Mus musculus: one gene and its partner. Each later gene encodes a partner of the first gene's protein in a complex. Links are inferred from orthologs where the notes say so. Each region holds a gene or a part of one and is shown on either strand. Other genes may lie near its edges.

Region 1 (4,449 bases):
GTCCTTGCCTGAGATTTGCATACAGTGGCTCCTCTATCAGTAGCCATTTACAGGGAACAACTGTGCAAGTCTAAGTTTGTGGCGTCTGGCAAGCATTGGAGAAGGTTCTCATGACCCAAGATTTTATTCCTTGTTGCTCTATACATAAATCAGGCTCTCAAGTACTTTCCAATTAGTTCCCCTAAGAGGGCAGGCTGGAGAGATGGCTCAGCAGTTGGGAGCCGTGGCTACTCCTCTTGAGGACCTGAGTTCAATTCCCAGTACCTACATGGCATCTCACAATTATCTGTATCTCCAGTTCCAGATTATTCTTGGCACCAGGCATGCATGCGGTACACATATATGTGCATGCAATCAAAATACCCATACACACAGAATAAAATAAATACTTTATATACATACACACACACACACACACATATATATATATATATATATATATATATATATATATATATATATATATATATATATATATGGTACCCAGAGCAACTATTATTCCCTTTATTGCAGGTACTGCATCTCCCACTCAGAGCAGTACCATGCTGGGGTGGGTTCAGGTCAGGACTGAATGCAGCTGGCCTCATCCCTACCTAAAGCCCTCCGAGTTATGTCTCAAGGAGCAATGGATTCTTTGAAGAGCCCTAAGCAGCATCTAAGAGGCTTCTGTCTCCTCAGCTCCTTCCTAGGTTTGCCTAAAAGTCAGCTTATCATGATTTTGTCCACGAGTCAATTCTACCTCAATGGGATCGACATGGGCACGCGCGCGCGCACACACACACACACACACACACACACACACACACACACACGCACACACACACATAATAGCTGTACATTTTTACACTAAGAAATGGAAAGGAAGTAGATGTTTCTCTTTGTTTTTAAATTATTACATTTATTTATTGTGTGTGTGTATGGGTGTGTGTATGTGTCTGTGTGTCTGTGTAATGTGCATATATGCATGTGGGTGGAGGTCAGAACACAATATACAGAAGCTGTCTCTCTCCTTCTACCTTGTGGATCCTGGGAATCGAACTCAGGTCATCATCAAGCTTGGCTGCAAGCGCTTTCTCCCGCTGAGCCTGTGCCCTCTGAGCCCGTGCCCTCTGAGCCCGTGCCCTCTGGGAAGTTATTCTTCAAGTGGTGGAAGGGCTCAACCTCTCACTTAGCCTGCTCCCTTCTTTGGGAAAGCAGCTGTCATTGGACTCCTGTTAGGTCAGTTAATGCTGGCAAATAATAAGCTCCAAGCGAGCAGGGGCTCTACTGCACACTAGTGCGTGCCTGGCTCTTGGCAAGATGCTTGGAACAAAACAGGTAGTCGATAAAGATGTGGTGAATAAATGACTATATGAAAATAATTTGACACCGGGGAGATGCGAAAGGAGCTGACGCTTCCTTCCTTCTGGAGTGGCAGGTGTCGCTGGTGATGCAGGCGGCAGCAGGAAAGTCGTCCCTCCTCCACCTCCAGAGTCCGGAGGCTGGATACTCTAAGGCTGGAAGGTATGGGTTCAGGAGGTTGCAGGTCAGGGGTGCGCAGGGAGCCCCTCGCCGCAGCCATTTCCGGCTCTTTGTGTGACAGCAGCCGCGGCGAAGGGGCTGGGCACCGCGGCCAGGGGAGGAGCCGCGGCAGGCGGAGAGGCGGGGCCGCGGGCGGGGCGCGGCGGTCCGCCGGCGCAGCGGCGGAGCGGGGCTAAGCATCCTGCGCCCCGGCGCGGGGCCCTGCGGTAGCCTCGGGTCCCTCCCCTGGACCTGCCACCGAGCCAGGTAAGGGACTCTCGGAGACAACAGGGCTGATGCAGGAACCGAAATGCTGCCTAGGCGGTGGATGCGTTCCTGAGGATGCGCGAGGGGCGGGCGCCACTTCTCCCAGCCCGTTGGGGGCGCTTGGCTTGGCGCCCGAGGCTACACGGCTTCAGGTCCCTGGAGGCCGGGCTACAGGCCTGTGTTGTCCCTTCTCCCCTCGGCCGCCCCGGGCGCCCTGGGCAGGGAGCGTTTTCCAGAAGTCGTGGGTACAGCGCAGAGCTCCGCGCAGCAGCCTCAGCGGCAGCCACAGCAGGTGCGTGGCCTGGGCCGGAGCCACCCGCCCTAAAAAGAGGCAGGGATAGTCTCGGGGACCAGGGATACCTGCAGGGGCCACAAGCCCAGAGGGGGCTACATCCCTGCACCTACATACTGCAGATCGCCGGGCAGTCCCCGCCTCTGCGGTCGCGGCCACCATCATTCAGCCAAGGCCAGAGAGAGCTGCCTGGGCCCGCCTGACAGGCAAGGGGGTACTGGGCGCCCGCGGTGAACCGAAGCCGGGTGGGGCCGGGGCCACAGCGGCACGGTTTGGGAGAGGAAAGCTCTGATGAGCCGGGAGGCATGGCTGACCTGCTTCGAAGCGTTCTGGCCTATACTAGCGCCTCTCCCCTGGATGGCTTTGGGGAGGAGAAAGGTGGGGTGATGGAATCCTAGGGGTCAAGGTTTCCTTCGTATTTAGCTGCCCACCTGTCTGTTGTGGGAGATTGCCACATCACCTTCAGGAAGGTAAGCCCTCCTGTGTGTACAGGAAGAGGAGTAGCTTGTGGCTAAGGGTGGGGGCAGGGAGCATGGTTGAACCGACTGTTGGTTTTCTCCCGCGACTATCTGGGTGTTTTCCAGTCCAGACTTAGAACTTGGCTAGCCCAATTCTTTAGTGCCCACAGCCCCACAGTTGGGCAGGAAGACTTAGGGATCAGACTGACGACTGACTGTTGCTCCTAAGCAACCATTTCTACCTCTTGACCCCTTCCCTTAGAAGTGACCAGCCTTATTCTTGGGCACAGGCCCTGCAAGAACCATTGCCTAGCACTCAGTGACACCCCCCCCTCCCGCCATTGTCGGAGGACAAAAATATAGATTAATATCTATAGTCGGGATTGTAAGTCCTTGAAGGTAGTTGTCCCTACCACCATCCCCCCTTCTGTGGCTTTCCCCCCCTCCACCCGATGCTCCTTGGGTCCCTTCTCTCCTGTCAAACTTGCTTGAGAAAGGAGCCAGTGAGTGGTATTTATCTTGAAGAGCTAAATACAAAAGGTTTTCCCATTGGATGTAGAGCAGGCGCTTCTTAAGTCATGGGATCAGAAAGGAAGCCGAGGATAGGAGACATTTTAATAGGAAGCAGAGCTGAAGTCAAAATATTTGCTATCTCTAATGGTTGACTTTCCGATGTAAGCTAGATGTGGCACTGATACTGTGGTCAGAATGGCCTATGTGGCAGCTGCCAGCTTCGTTTTCTGTCAGGGCTGCTTTGGCCTGGTGGGCAGGAGTACTGTAGGAGTGTGTGTGTGTGTGTGTGTGTGTGTGTGTGTATGAGAGAGAGAGAGAGAGAGAGAGAGAGAGAGAGAGAGAGAGAGGCAGAGAGAGGCAGAGAGAGAGAGGCAGAGAGAGAGAGGGGTCAGGGGTTACTGTCAGCAGAAGGCTTTTGTTGATCACCAGTCTCTCCTTGCCCGTGGGGTGTGAAATGTGCCCATGGAGAGTTCCTTACTGGAGCTAGCTGCCATCTGCCCTGACAGTTACGAAGCCACAGACAGCACGCTGCTGCTTACAAAGCCAGTGCCCCTGGGTACTTCTGCTTGCTGAGCCCCAGGCCGGTGGCATTAGCTCACTAATCTTCTTTATTGTAGTTCCTGGCCAGTTCTGACTGGTTGTATAGGAACCCAAGACTGCCTTGTTCCCTAATGTGGTGGAAAATGGAAAGAAAAAGCGTGAGTTAGGCATTAGGCCAGAAGTGGGGGGTGGGGTGGGGCACAGGTTTGGAGACTCTTGCTCAGATCAGATCACATGGAGAAGTAATTTAACAGCTAGCCAAGGGCCCCGGTAACAGAAGTGCACCCTTCGATTATCGTGCCCCCTCAGTGGTCACTGGGCCTCTGAGGCTGCCATTGACCTGAAAGCTAAATTAGGTGATGAATAGGCAACAGGCTAATTAGCATTGGGAACAGTATTGCTGGAAAACAGTATAGGGCTCCTGTCCTCACATCTCAGCCCCGGCCTCCATGCTCAAAGAGGCTTCTTTGGACCACTGTTAGCCCCAGGGTTCCACCAAGAGCTTCACAAAATGCTCTTTCTGTAGCCTCCATGTGGCCACCATAACAATGAGTCTATTTCTTTACTGGCAAGTATTAATTATTCACTTATAGTTGACGAAACCAGATGTCAGTCACCTCATTGGAGCCTTTGTGAAAGGCCTTTGGTCTTGTCAATTTGAGAAGCAAAGCTATATCTAGGGTCCGGCGAATGGCCTTGGCGATTGTAGCTGGAGGTGGTTGGTGGATGGGGAAGGCAGCAGTTTGTGCCTTGCAGACTGTGAATCCTGTGACTCGGAGGCCAGCTGTGGTGGGGGAGGGGCCAGTGCATCTTTGGATGTTCTTATTAAATGAAAGATGCACGAAAGCTCTGAATAGAGTGTGTGGCACACAATCGGTC
Region 2 (4,588 bases), on another chromosome or scaffold:
GGCTGGAGAGGGGTTGACTGGAGCGAGCAGAGGTCCTAAAATTCAATTTCCAACAATCACATGATGGCTCACAACCATCTGTACAGCTACAGTGTACTCATATACATAAAATAAATAAATCTTTAAAAACATTTTTTACAAGAGTTTAAAAAAAAGAAAAAAAAGTGAAATATTTCAGTTCTCTGGCAAAGTAGGAGAAAACTATGTGAACCAACACTGAAATAGTTTACACAAAAGGTACACACTCAATAAGCACAATTGTTGGAGTGCTCAAAAGATTCTGAGCCAAAACCAAAACCCTCGGCAGGAAAACTTGACTATGAGTAGCAAGACAAATGATCAGTTCTGGAAAATGCTTTAATTCAGTAAAAAGCCATCTAAAGCCATCAGGTCTACCTGCGAACATACCTGCCTTTGTCATTGAATCACATTCCTTTAATACTCCTTAAATCTAATTCTTCTGGGGACACATGAACTCTTTACTGACTACAGTTCTCTACTATAACCTCCACAGAAACTTACGGGCGTGAAGCTGTACCACTGACATATACATTTATGCTGGCCTCTCATTAGTTGGTATCTTTAACCTCCGCTCCCTGTTAAGAAAATCCATGTAAGATTATACAGAATCCTACACACTTTGTGAGCATACTTCTTTTTCCCCACGTGTAAGAGGTTTATTGGGGGGGGGGGCAAGGAAGGTGGCGGCAGAGAGAGAAGGGTGGGGGAGAGAGAGAATTCGTGAGGGTGCGTAAGGACACTTCTAATCCAGCACTTGGGAAGCAGAGCCAAAGGGCCATCACAAACTAGAGGACATCCTGATCTGTAGAGCTGCAGGCCAGCACAGAGCGACAGACAGTAATAATCTCAGGAGGGGGAGGGAAAAAATAGTTGAGGAAGGAGAACCATGAGTTGTACCAATTTACAAGACTCAAAACCAAAATGCAAAATGGAGTAGGGGACATGGAGCATGGATGGACAGATTAAGATCTCTTATTTATTGTATTTGAAGGTGGGTGTGGGCATGCACTATGTGGGGCCAGAAGACAACTTGTGACAGCTGGTTCTCTCCTTTCACCTTGTGGACCCTGAGGATTGTATTCAGGTTGGTGGCCTTTACCTGCCAAGCCATCTCAACAGCCTGAAAGAACTCTACATACAGAAAATGGATTAGTATTATTATTTACACTGATAGTCTCCCTTTATGTGTGTGTGTCATATCCCCTGGGACTAGAGCTATGGACCACTGTGAACTGCAACGTGGGTCCTGGGATTTGTACCTGGGTTCTTTGGAACTGCTTTTAACAGCTGAGCAATCTCTCGAGCCCTAGAAAATGGCTCATTTCTGTGGCTGTTCTGAGGACCAGGCTGGCCTCAAATGCATAGCACTCTTCCAGCCCTTGTCTCTCCAGTGCTAAGAGTACAGGTATGAGCCACCACATATAACAGGGAAGGGTTACCATGTTCCTCACTGCCAGCAGACCTGTGTAAGAACCAATTACGCCTGCTGATGTTTGCTTTGCTCTACCAGGCTGGACTCAAAACTCTCTATGAAGCAGATGACTTGGGAGTTCCTCCTGGTCCTCCTGCCTCTGCATCCTGAGTGCTGCTATTAAAGGCATGGTGTGTGGGTGCTAGGCCAATACTCTACAGACTAGGCATCCCCTGCCCCTTAATGATGCATTTCCAATTTCCTTTTTGTTCTCTTTTCTCAAAAAACAAAAACAAAACAAAACAAAAAACCCCCAACCAACCAAAAAACAAAACAAAACACAAAAAAAGGAGGAAAAAAAAGGAGAGAGAGAAAGAAAACTCTAAGAAGTGGGGGATGCCGGGGTCTTGTGCTTACCACTCAGGAGCCCAATCCCTGAACTACACCCCGTAATTGAAGCTACTGTTCGGTTACCTTCTATCATACTACTTAGGACTCATCGGGTCTTTAGCTAGAAAATATACGATTCACTTTAATTTTTTTCAAAATACAGCACTTTCTCCCCAAGATGCTGAAAGTTGCTAATTAGTAGAACCAAAGCACTCTAGTGAAAAAGATCACTGGATGCCATCTGCACGTCTTGTATTGTGTAAGAAGGTCCCTGAAAGAACCCTTCCGGAGACCATAAGAAGTCTGTAACAGGTTTTCAGTCCAGAAGGCTAGGAACGCACGCAGAAAGAAATCAAGACTGTCACTAGCCGGCCACACCTAGGAATAGTTTTTTGGAAAAGTGGACTCTGCTGAAACCATCTGCCCTGTAAAATCCGAGGAGCCAGACAGAAGCATCCAGAGCACCTACCATGAAGCAGATACAGGGCTAGAAAAGCCATTCCCAAGGCCCGAGCGGGCCCCATCCCTTACAACCCTCAGCACTAGCACCAAATCGAGCCGGGGATGAATGAACCTGCCGGGAGTGGTTAAACGGGAGCAATAGAAGGCATGACATCAAAGGGGTTCGGACTTCTTCCTGAAGGAGATGGACAACGAGCAGGAGTCTCTCAACAGTAAGCGCGACCGTGACCGTGACACGGCTGCGCACTGCCTGCCAAGTGAAGACTGGCACGGAAGCGCGGCGCAAACCGGGGCGGATGATGGATGGGCCTAAGAGGCTGGACAGTGGGCGTGCTGACGAGCGCAAGTGGGGCATGGCAACGGGCAGGGTAGACCCTCGGAAACGGCCCAGTGAGGCTCGGGGTGAGGGCACTGGGGCCGGCGGGCAGCCAAAGAGGAAGCGAGTAGCCAGGGCGGCGCGCCTCTCCTCCCCGCCGCCGGCCGCCTCCCAGGCCTCCCTCCTCCCAGCCTCCCCTGCTCGCCCGCTGACCGAAAGAGTTGAGAAAGTCTGAGATTTTCTTGATGCTGCTGGTGATGATCTCAATGTACTCCCGGTTCGCCCAGTCCTGGTGAATCTCCCGCTGCACCGGATCCTCTTGTCCCGCCATGGCGGCCGCCTGAGGAAGAGTGACTGCGCAGGCGCCGCGACCTCTACAGGCCTCCAGCGCGCCTGCGCCGCCAGCCAGTACCCGAGTGTTCGAGCCCCAGAAAGGGCTGGCAGAGCGACGCGCGTGCGCACTCTAATCCCTGCGCTCTAGCTTGGCTCCCACGCTGGGGTAAACAAGATTCCTCCACTCGCGATGTGAAGACTAAGAGCTACCCTGTCCCCGGTTACAAGCACCCGCTGACCACTAGCGGATCTTGTCGTTAGGGGGCGCCCACACATTCCCACCTCCGCCTAAGGGTTGCTCCAAGCTCTCTTGCACCTTGTTAGCTGTGATGGGCACAGTCCACGAATCCCGTTTATTCAGAATGCTTGTCATGCTTGGGTCACAACTCTGTTCATTCTCGTTTTCTTTTAAAATTTGTTGTTGTTGTTGTTTTTCGAGACAGGGTCTCTCTGTGTAGTCTTGGCTGTCCTTGTACTCCCTCTGTAGACCAGGCTGGCCTCGAACTCACAGAGATCAGCCTGCCTTTCCCTCCGGAGTGCTGAGATTAAAAATGTGGCCACCACCGCCAGGTTAAAATTATTTTATTCGTATTATATGTGAGCGCTTACGTGGCACAACACGCGGGCGGAAGTTACAGGACAACTTGCAGGAGTGGGTTCCTCACCTTCCATCTTGTGGGACTGAACACTCAGATCATCAGCTTCAGTGTCTTTATTGTTCGAGGTGTCCCACCAACTCTGAATCTCCATATTTACCAAATGAGCAAAATACTTTTCTTTCTTTCTTTCTCTTCTCTCTCTTTCTCTCTCTTTCTCTCTCTTTCTCTCTCTTTCTCTCTCTTTCTCTCTCTTTCTCTCTCTTTCTCTCTCTTTCTCTCTCTTTCTCTCTCTTTCTCTCTTTCTCTCTCTTTCTCTCTCTTTCTCTCTCTCTTTCTCTCTCTTTCTCTCTCTTTCTCTCTTTCTCTCTCTTTCTCTCTCTTTCTCTCTCTTTCTCTCTCTTTCTCTCTCTTTCTCTCTCTTTCTCTCTCTTTCTCTCTCTTTCTCTCTCTTTCTCTCTCTTTCTCTCTCTTTCTCTCTCTTTCTCTCTCTTTCTCTCTCTTTCTCTCTCTTTCTCTCTCTTTCTCTCTCTTTCTCTCTCTCTCTCTCTCTTTCTCTCTCTCTTTCTCTCTCTCTTTCTTTCTCTCTTTCTTTCTTTCTTTCTTTCTTTCTTTCTTTCTTTCTTTCTTTCTTTCTTTCTTTCTTTCTTTCTTTCTTTCTTTCTTTCTTTCTTTTTCCAAATCAGGGTTTGTCTGTGTAGCCCTGGCTGTCCTAGAACTCACTTTGTAGACCAGGCTGGCCTCGAACTCAGATATCCGCCTGTCTCTGCCTCCCGAGTGCTGGCATGCGCCACCACGCCAAGCTGCCAAATACATTTTTAATGCTAATACCCAATGATGGACCGGCTGAAGCAAAATGGTAAGTCACAGTGTAAACTCATTCCATTTCTATCAAGAACTGCAAAAATAATCTCCAACCTTTTTACCTAATCGTTTCATTAAAAAAAAATCGTTAAAGGAACGTAGTCGTACATGCTTATAATTTCAGCACTCAAGAGACTAAGGCAGAAGAAGGCTTGTCCAAACAATGGTCTAGTCAGTCCATGTGTGGTGGTTTGA

What was found.
Region 2: Cyfip2 (region 1) and Brk1 share a complex: the UniProt entries of both Homo sapiens proteins name them as parts of the WAVE1 complex. The link is inferred for Mus musculus from reciprocal best matches to the Homo sapiens genes CYFIP2 and BRK1.

What each region holds. Positions count from the first base shown.
Region 1 is NC_000077.6:46,309,545-46,313,993, reverse strand, and holds the start of Cyfip2 (cytoplasmic FMR1-interacting protein 2), read left to right. Parts: upstream 1-1,635; 5' UTR 1,636-1,767; exon of another isoform or gene 1,768-2,059; intron 2,060-4,449. UniProt on the Homo sapiens protein: Involved in T-cell adhesion and p53/TP53-dependent induction of apoptosis. Does not bind RNA. As component of the WAVE1 complex, required for BDNF-NTRK2 endocytic trafficking and signaling from early endosomes.
Region 2 is NC_000072.6:113,603,122-113,607,709, reverse strand, and holds the start of Brk1 (protein BRICK1), read right to left. Parts: upstream 2,939-4,588; 5' UTR 2,932-2,938; coding exon 2,814-2,931; intron 1-2,813. UniProt on the Homo sapiens protein: Involved in regulation of actin and microtubule organization. Part of a WAVE complex that activates the Arp2/3 complex. As component of the WAVE1 complex, required for BDNF-NTRK2 endocytic trafficking and signaling from early endosomes.